Daphnia pulex: one gene and its partner. The protein of the gene in region 2 binds, or shares a complex with, the protein of the main gene of each other region. Links are inferred from orthologs where the notes say so. Each region holds a gene or a part of one and is shown on either strand. Other genes may lie near its edges.

Region 1 (4,517 bases), on a different chromosome or scaffold from region 2:
TTCCAGGCCGGCACCAATAATATGCCATCCACCACCACCACCACAAAATGGAAAAGGATTTAGAGAAGACGAGCCGGAATCGATCCATTTCCGGCGGGGAGAGCAACAACAATGAAGAACTGGTTTCGATGGACGTCGAGGAGGAATCGGAAGCCTCCACCGCTTCCAGTTTGAACCAACAACAACAGCAACAACAACAACGGAAGCTCTGGCGGAGTAAATCCACCGTCCGGTCGCAAGAGTCGAGTCTGGAAGCGGCGACGGCCGTCACCAACGACGAGTTAAAAGAACTCAAACAATGGTTCCAGGTACAAAATATAATCAAATATGTAACATCTGTCCAGTTTCTTTGTAACATCTTTGCCTAAAGAAAGAAAAGCCTTTCGGCCCAGCTGAAAAGGAATTATTTATTATTTTTCTCCTTTTTCTTCCCCCTCTCCTGTGGAATGCTGGACACGGCCGGGGGCAAAGAGAAAACGAGTCCAGACTGTTCAAATGACTTTTTGGCTTGGTGGTGGTTGTACATAAAAGAAATTCCAATTTATCTCTCGATGCCGAGTGTGTCTGTGTGCGTGGCGGACGGACAATTTCACGTAGGCGGGCGATTTGAATGATGAGGAATCGTTTGTGCAATTGTGTGTCGACCACCCCCCAACACAAACAAGTTTGCCCGTTACGCCATTTTCACGGCTCATTTGACGTTTCACAAAAGAAAAAAAAAATTAATTTTTTTTATTGGCCGTTGGCGGCCCGGAATTGCTTGTTTTTTATTATATTTCTGCCCGTCTCTTTTTTTGTTGTTGTGAAAGATGATGATGATCATCTGGCGGGAAATTTAAAGTGGGCACAAATAAATAAATAAAAAGAAAACTAGTTGGTCGCCTGGAGGCGAACTGGCCGTCTTCCAGACGGGCCAAAAAGAAAAACAAACAAATTTCAAGTTATTTCTAATTTTATTCTGGCCGTGTGATGAATTGAATTTTCCATTTGATTTGATTTTTACAGTGGGAGAAGAGTCTGTCGATCGACGCGGCCATCCACCAGGAGCGTCTGGTTTGGCAGCGGCAGCAGCGCGGGACGCGGTGCGGAACGGTGGCGGAGAACGAGCGGCTCAAGGAGCGGGTCCAGGTGCTGGGCCACGAGAATTACGAATTGACTCGGATGCTGAAAAACGAGCAAATCCGCAACCGAGACGAAGACGCCAGTCAGCGGCGCTGCCTACGCCAGGCGGCCGCCAAAGCCCGGCTGGAGACCAGGGCCGCCCGTCGGCTCCAGGTCATGGAAGCTGCCGCCGTCCAGCAAGCCCAGCTGCAAATCAAACAGCTTGAAGAGGTTTTATTCAACAAAAACAAATCAAATCTATTTCCTTTTTTAAATTCAATTTCCTTTTGCTGGACAACAGACGATCGACGAAAAAGATAAATCGATCGCCAAACTGGAAGCGGAAAAATATTACCTGGGCGAACGCGTTTTCGAATTGACTGGAGTCGAGGAAGGTTTCTGGAGCGACGAGGTTTTGGTAAATAACAAAAAAAAAAAACAATTTGGATTTTTCACACTTTTATCATTTCCGGATTCCATTAATCCTCGTTTAACTGGAACACAAATAGTTCGATAATGACGTGTGGGATTTTTAGACACGACCGTGAAATCCTACACCCCCCCGGGTGGGAGGAGGGATTTTTATTCTATAGCGTCAAATGGAATAATAGCACCTGCGTTTTTATTTATTTTGAAATGAAAGGCGAGTCGTCGTCGTCGTTTTTCATTTTTCTATAAAAGACGGACGTTTACATTGGGTCGAGTTTAGTCACAACTTATCCGGCGTCACTTGCAAGTTGCCCGTCTCTTTCGCCACATGTGTGCACAGTTTATGCACTGCCAGATGCGGGATTGACGTCATTCGCCCGTTTTTTGTTCAACCGGATTGGATTTCGTCCACTTTTTGAAAGAAAGAAAAATGGCTGACGGATGGATTCCGGCGGACAATGGAGGAGCCCACAAGGATCTCAGGAGGAGGATCTCGAATTCGGCCCAAAGTTTGAACCGATTCGTCCGGCTGCCCAAACCCAAAAAGTGTCGATCGTGGGGCCGTCAGTTGTTGCGACGCTGGTCCAGCAGCGGTGCCAGTCTTTTCGGAGGATTTTTCGCTTCCACTCCGTCGGCCGGTGGATCCTGCGGGAGGAGTGACGTGAGGAATCCGGATTCTCCTCCTCGGTCGCTGGACGCGGATGTTTTCGCTTCGCTGTCGTCGGATTACGTCCACTTTGGGACGGCCACGCCCCCTCCTAAGCCTCCGCGAGTCCGTCGGTGGTCGACAGTCAGCGATGGATCCTGCCCAACCGACTGTGAAGGATCGCTCACTTCTGTGCAGTCGAGCGGATTACTGCAAGAGGAGGAGGAGGAGCGACGGTTGTTGTTTTTAAGGTTCCAGCTGGCGGCGGGCGCAGCTGGATGTTGTTCCAGCGTCGAGTTGTCGGTTGGGCCGGCAGATGGCGTCGGCCAATCCTCAGGTGCCGTCGCCGACGACGTGGGAGAAGAAATCCAAGGGGCGGAGTCATTGCGGACGAGTGGCGATGAAACGCATCCATCCGGTGCGGATGAAGAAGATGACGACGACCAGCACGACGACGGCAGCAGCAACGGCCACGACTGGATCGTCACGAAAAGAAAACTGTTGCGTCCATTATCACCGCCGCCGGCCACCTCTCACCACCACACCCACGGTGACTTCCGCTTGGAGGACGCCCGTCTCTTGTGGCTGGGCTGGCGACTAGGCCGTCCGGAGGTATGAAGGCCTTTGCCCGGTCGCATCCGCAATTCCGCTCACGATTTCAACCCCTTCCAAAAAAATAGAAATCGATGGGCCGCCTCTTAGATCACTGGGTTTTATTTGCATAGACGGCCCGGAAGGAGTCAGAGGGGACTACAGAGTTGTTCAAACACTTTTGGAATTTTTATTATTTATTCCGGCGGATTATTTTCTTTTTCTGAGATTGCCGCTGGCCCATTTGTTGCGGTTTGATGGACGGAAGAATAGAAGAAGAAATATCACCCGGCCCGGATTGCGTGCTGGGCGACGACCCCGAAAAAATTTCAAAACGACAATTGTCAAATTTTTTGACGGCCTTCAACTTTATTTTTTTTGATTTATTTTGGCGTGTCCGTCGGTTATTATTATTTGGCCGTTCCAACTGCGATTGGTCCGTTTCTTTTTCTACAAAAAGAAAAAATGGCCACGGTCACTCTCCTTTTGTGGTTTACATTTTTTTTTTTAAAGACGGCCCTGTCCAATTTTTTCCTACGAATGGAAAGAGAATGGAAGAATCTTTTGGAAAAACTGGAAGAACTTCCGTTCGGCCTTGAGGGTTTTACATCCCCGACACATTACGTCAAGTTAGGAGTGGGGGGGAGAGAAAAAGTTAATTAACTCTGGTCCCGGAAGTCGCAGTGAATAGAAAATTTTTTTTTTAAATTTAATTAGAATTAGAATTAAATTATTTGAATTTTAATAAAATTTACAATTCCATTTGGCGGAATTGAAAGGAAAAGAGGAATTTAGACGAATAGCAGTTGCCACTACTGTTGTTGTTGTCAATGTTGTTGAGGGTTTCTCTGTTGGGTTGTGCTGGGCCGTGTGTACCTGGCCGTGTCCGGGGGGCCAACGGGAAATGCCTGGAGGAATGTTTTTTTAATTTTCACGTTTTATTATAACCCTCCTCCCACTTTTCTCCCTTCCCCCCTCTTCCTACCATCCTACCATCCACCTTCTGGTTTTCCAGCAGCAACAATTGGGTAAAGTCATTCGCTGCTGCCGGCCAGCCGAATCAGTTCATGTCGAAACTTCATTGACTCGAGTTTATTTTTATTTTTCTTTGCCCGTCTCTCTTTGTGTGCCCGTTTGTTAGTTTGAATCGAACTGAGAGTGGAAGAAAACGATTTAATTTTTTGGATTATTTCGCCCGTCTGTGATTGTTAGTTTTGTTAGTTTTGCCCGGCTGAAATTGGATTTTCAAAATTTTGATTCAGACGAAGCCGGTGATATCGGAACGAGAGCGCGGACTATTGCAACGGGCCAACAGCCTCAATATCCACATCAGTCAGCTGCAACGGAACCAACGGATCTTGTCCAGCGAGAATGAGCAATTGGTGAACACAAATCAAACCAAACCAACTGGCCCGTCGTGGGAAAATCAAATTTTCATTTTTATATTTTTTCTTTTGTCATTTGTTTAGAAACGTCAAATGGAGATGGAAAGAGAGCGGCCGGCCGGCCAGCTGCAACGGGAACGTGAGCGTCAGCAAGAGCTGCAACTGCTGCGCAGGAAAAATGCCGAGCTGGCCATGCAGACGAAGAAACTGGAAGAGAAAGTCCGCAGTCTGGAAAAGGTATGAGATTCTTTTTCTTCTTTGAACAAAAAGAAACTGCTACTGGTGCATCCGGTACATCCGGAAACTCTGCACTTATTTCTCACTCTGACGTCCGTTCCATCCCTTCCACAAAAGTCAATTAGTTT
Region 2 (3,817 bases):
CTGGCGTGTGGGCGTTCGGCAGCGGGAAAGGCTGTACTCGTCGCCGCGCAGTTTGGCTACGATACAAAGCAAGCATTTGACACAACTGTGGCCATTTTGGAGATGAATTTTTCGTTGTGTCGGGGTGGAATTACCTCTCGCTCGTCCCTTGCGACTCGTTTCGTGTTTGACAATGTCGACCACGTCCGAAACAGCATCGCTGAAACCAATATCGTGCGCCCGCCGTGGAGGCAAAGGAGACATGTCTCTCCTATGTCGCCAAGATGAGACACAATTACATGTTAACCTCTTAAAGAAACTAAGATGTTGAGTCAAAGTGATTTGATTTAGTAAGATCGAGTAAGATTTAGTTAATTACAGCCACCGTCTGAAGATCTATATTTCGCTATAATTCGCTATAATTTACGTACCTTATGGTGTTCTATAAGCGACGTCATGTCTAATTCATTGTGATTACCTGTAGTGAGGTTGTGGAGAGTGAGATCGTCGCAAAGCGCAAGGTGAAGGTGACCAGGCCCTGCTGTTTGGTCGGTGCATGCCAGCCTCACCCTCAGGCTTGAGTCGGTGCATGACTTTGCTTGCGGATTCAACCGACGGCGGCCGTGAATCGTGCTGGTGATCGAGTTGATCCGTCAGTATCTCCAGGGCCTGTACATTTCAATAAGGGGGAAAGGGCATTCCATTAAAAGTCGTCTGCCAGGAGGATCTCACCACATTGGATCGACAACTCATAAAGCTGCCAAAAGTGCGAAAACAAATGAACTCAGCTCAAAAACTCGGAAATGATTTTTTTCGAAGTTTTCTACCACTATAATATGTACAAAATGAGTATGCGAATAATACACCGAGATGCGCCCAAACCAACTACGAGGGACGTAGGATTGATGTAAAAAAGCGTAATAATGTAGTAAGAAAATAGAGAAGAAAAATAAGGTAAATAGAAGAGCCCCGTATACTGTACAAGCTACACACCTACCTGGTGAACATCATTTGAAGTGTAAAGACTCATTTTCTTATTGGATATATAAATAATGGTAAGGAAAATAAATGTTGAAAAAAAAAGTTAATAAGATCAAATGGCAAACATCAAATCGTGACTTACCGTAACCTTTTACGCAACAAACAAACAGGTAACCTAAAATATATAGACTGGAGGGTCTCTGAAAAATGTTTCTCGCTTAGTTCTTTTTCCCATTGCAAAAGAGTCTCATAGTTGGCTGAATTTTTTAAGAAAGAACAAAAATCCAGTCATTTTTTTGATTTATAGAACTCGGCAAGAGCTCATAAAGCAGATGACCAATATTTGGCGTATTTTTTTTTTTTTTTTTTTTTTTTTGTACGTAGTCGAATGTGTTGCAAAATAGAATGAAGTATATCAGTCTGGATAAACAGCACAAAATTAAGCTACAGAATGGGATAACAAGTCCACGATTCTACAATAATGGTCACAATGGTTCACAGTTGGGTAACCAGTGGACTCCAATCGTACGAGTTGCTTCACTAACAATGCCAATGACAAGCCTTGGCCGTTTTTTGAGAATAACTTGTGTCAAGTCGAAAAAGAAGTAGGGTGGATTCAATGGAAATGCAGACCTTCAATTTAGTACCGAAGGTTGAGGAAACGTTGTTGTTTTAAGATTAAATTTGTAGTGTGTTGTCTGTGTGTTCTACTCGAGAGATACGTGTTGCTGTAGTAAGTAGCTAACGTTATAGTCATTGCACATCCATCCAGTCGACAGCTTACTAGGTCTAATACTACGTCTGACTAACACCACACTATCACCACCGTCACAAGTCATTCTATGCGCCTTAGTCCATTCGGCATCACTGCCATAGGTCACCTTGTTAGAGCTGCAATAAATCAATAGAAAAGAAAAACAGTTGAGTTTGAAGTTGGTAAAGGCACAGGTGAAGTGATATTTGTTTTACCTTGAGGAATTAGGCTGGTTGGAGAAAACTGCGGCGAAGCGATCGGGGGCGGGGGCTCCCGGAATGAGATCGATTACCGTGCTAGCCTCTTTCTCCTCTTGGTGAATTCCGCCGCTGCCGTGGTTTGCCAAGGTGGTGGAACCGGAGTTGGAATTAGGGTGAGAATGGGAATGAGGGTGACTTAGCGAGCCTTTGTTGCTGCCCGTGCGGGCCATACTTCCCATTAAGCGTTCGAAGAGCGACTGTTTCTGTTGTTACGTATCGAATTGCGGCCCAAATCGAGCCAGTCGCAAGGGTTGATGGCGATAATTTAAAAAACAAACAAGAGAAAATCAAATTTTAAGGTAGAAGAAAAAAAGGAATATACCGGTATACCAAGACCAAGACTCAAGCAAATCAGAATAGATAATGCTTATGAGAAAAAAAGTGAGACAGCATGTCGCAAAATTTGCATCATTCTTAATGGTATTGTCATGACATTTTTTTTCCTTTTGAATTTTCGATTGGCTTTGTGTTTGACGTCCACCGTCAAACGCAAAATCAATGTCTCTTGAAATGTCTAAAGCGTTTTAAAAAAATTGCCTATTCATCTAGTTTTTGGCAAGATAGTGATGATGAGAGCGCTCATAAAAGAGATCCTTCTCCATTTAAAATGTTTAATAAGCATTTATTTTTTTTTTTTTTTTGTTTTTTGTAAAATTCAAATTGTGGTTCATTCACGATTTTGAATCGTTAGTTATTACAATTGATGAAAAATATTTCTTTAGCGAGCGATATCTCTCGGCACTTTTTTTGTGTACGGTATACATAAATATACCGGCAATTGCATGTTTTTTTTTTAAGAATAAGCATAACTTAAAGTGTCGTATAACAAGCACTAGTTAGTTGCTTCATATTATTAAGCTTTTAAAAAGATTTGACATATTATTATGTACATTGGAATCAGATCGATCCAGAAGAAGAAGAAAAAAGTATGTTCTATATGTAGGCTATTTATCGCGCCAAATGCAAAAATAGTTGTGGTACTGTTCAGGAAGAAAACCTCTGAATTAACTGATTTCTGCAGATTATTTTCTGTTGATTTTGCTGTCGGTGTTTGGATGGGAGGGAGATGGAAGTTAAACTAAGGATAAAATCATGCAATCCATTGAATCATGCTATGAAACATGTGCCTTCGAAGGAGAGTCAATATATAATGGTTGAAAACGAACGAAATATTTCAAGGATGATAGAACAACATAGAACCCATCCCTTGACGGACCATTTACCTGTTTTTCGATTTGCTTTTCATGTTGAAATTGTCCTAAAAGCGTCAGTCGTTGACTGAAACTCAATAACTAGGTCTAGAAATCTTATGCACAGCAACATTTAGATCACATTCAACGAGCGCATGCCAATAAAGATCCTATCTACTGCCAACCGACTAGCTGAAAACACATAAATAACTAGTACAAATCAAAGCTGAAGGATAGTCAAAAAATAAACATTCTTATTTTAGCCTGAAGCGGATCTGAGAAAAAGAAAGCTCTTTAAAAAAAATCGTTCTTAGAGATATTCAAGCGTGGGTGAAATGGCAGAGATCGAGAAGAAGAGATTTTGTTGGTTTTTGGTTTTTTTGTTTGAAACGATTGAGATTTGAGATTACTACCGCTTCAGGAGCAGAACACTGAGCGGTGGTCGGCTTCTCCTGGAAAAATGCACAACCAACCAAGAGATATCCATTTGAGCGACGAAACCACCGTAATGCAGAGAGAAAAAGAGAGGAAGAAAAAGGCGGTGTGTTTTGTGAATGAAATAAATAAAGAAAAAAATAAAAGACAAATTAGAGACGCGGAGTTAAATAAAGGCTAAATAAAAATCATTGGATCACACACTGAAATGAAAAAAA

Evidence for each region.
Region 1: the proteins of voltage-dependent calcium channel type A subunit alpha-1-like (region 2) and uncharacterized protein LOC124203590 are in contact, whole or in part, in a crystal structure (PDB 4Z8A), measured with the Drosophila melanogaster proteins. The link is inferred for Daphnia pulex from reciprocal best matches to the Drosophila melanogaster genes cac and Rbp. Residues at the interface, in NP_001245639.1 of Drosophila melanogaster: Ile1688, Gly1689, Arg1690, Arg1691, Leu1692, Pro1693, Pro1694, Thr1695, Pro1696, Lys1698, Pro1699, Ser1700, Thr1701, Leu1702; in NP_732029.4 of Drosophila melanogaster: Ile1353, Leu1355, Tyr1356, Tyr1358, Leu1363, Pro1365, Asn1366, Val1367, Asp1368, Val1372, Glu1373, Thr1378, Gly1379, Asp1391, Gly1392, Phe1393, Leu1404, Pro1406, Ser1407, Asn1408, Phe1409.

The regions. Positions count from the first base shown.
Region 1 is NC_060026.1:13,166,375-13,170,891, reverse strand, and holds the start of uncharacterized protein LOC124203590, read left to right. Parts: upstream 1-1,560; 5' UTR 1,561-1,960; coding exon 1,961-2,788; intron 2,789-4,029; coding exon 4,030-4,149; intron 4,150-4,236; coding exon 4,237-4,389; intron 4,390-4,517.
Region 2 is NC_060024.1:7,077,822-7,081,638, forward strand, and holds part of voltage-dependent calcium channel type A subunit alpha-1-like, read right to left. Parts: intron 3,617-3,817; coding exon of another isoform or gene 3,578-3,616; intron 2,178-3,577; coding exon 1,930-2,177; intron 1,852-1,929; coding exon 1,842-1,851; intron 649-1,841; coding exon 458-648; intron 251-457; coding exon 135-250; intron 57-134; coding exon 1-56. UniProt on the Drosophila melanogaster protein: Voltage-sensitive calcium channels (VSCC) mediate the entry of calcium ions into excitable cells and are also involved in a variety of calcium-dependent processes, including muscle contraction, neurotransmitter release, gene expression, cell motility, cell division and cell death.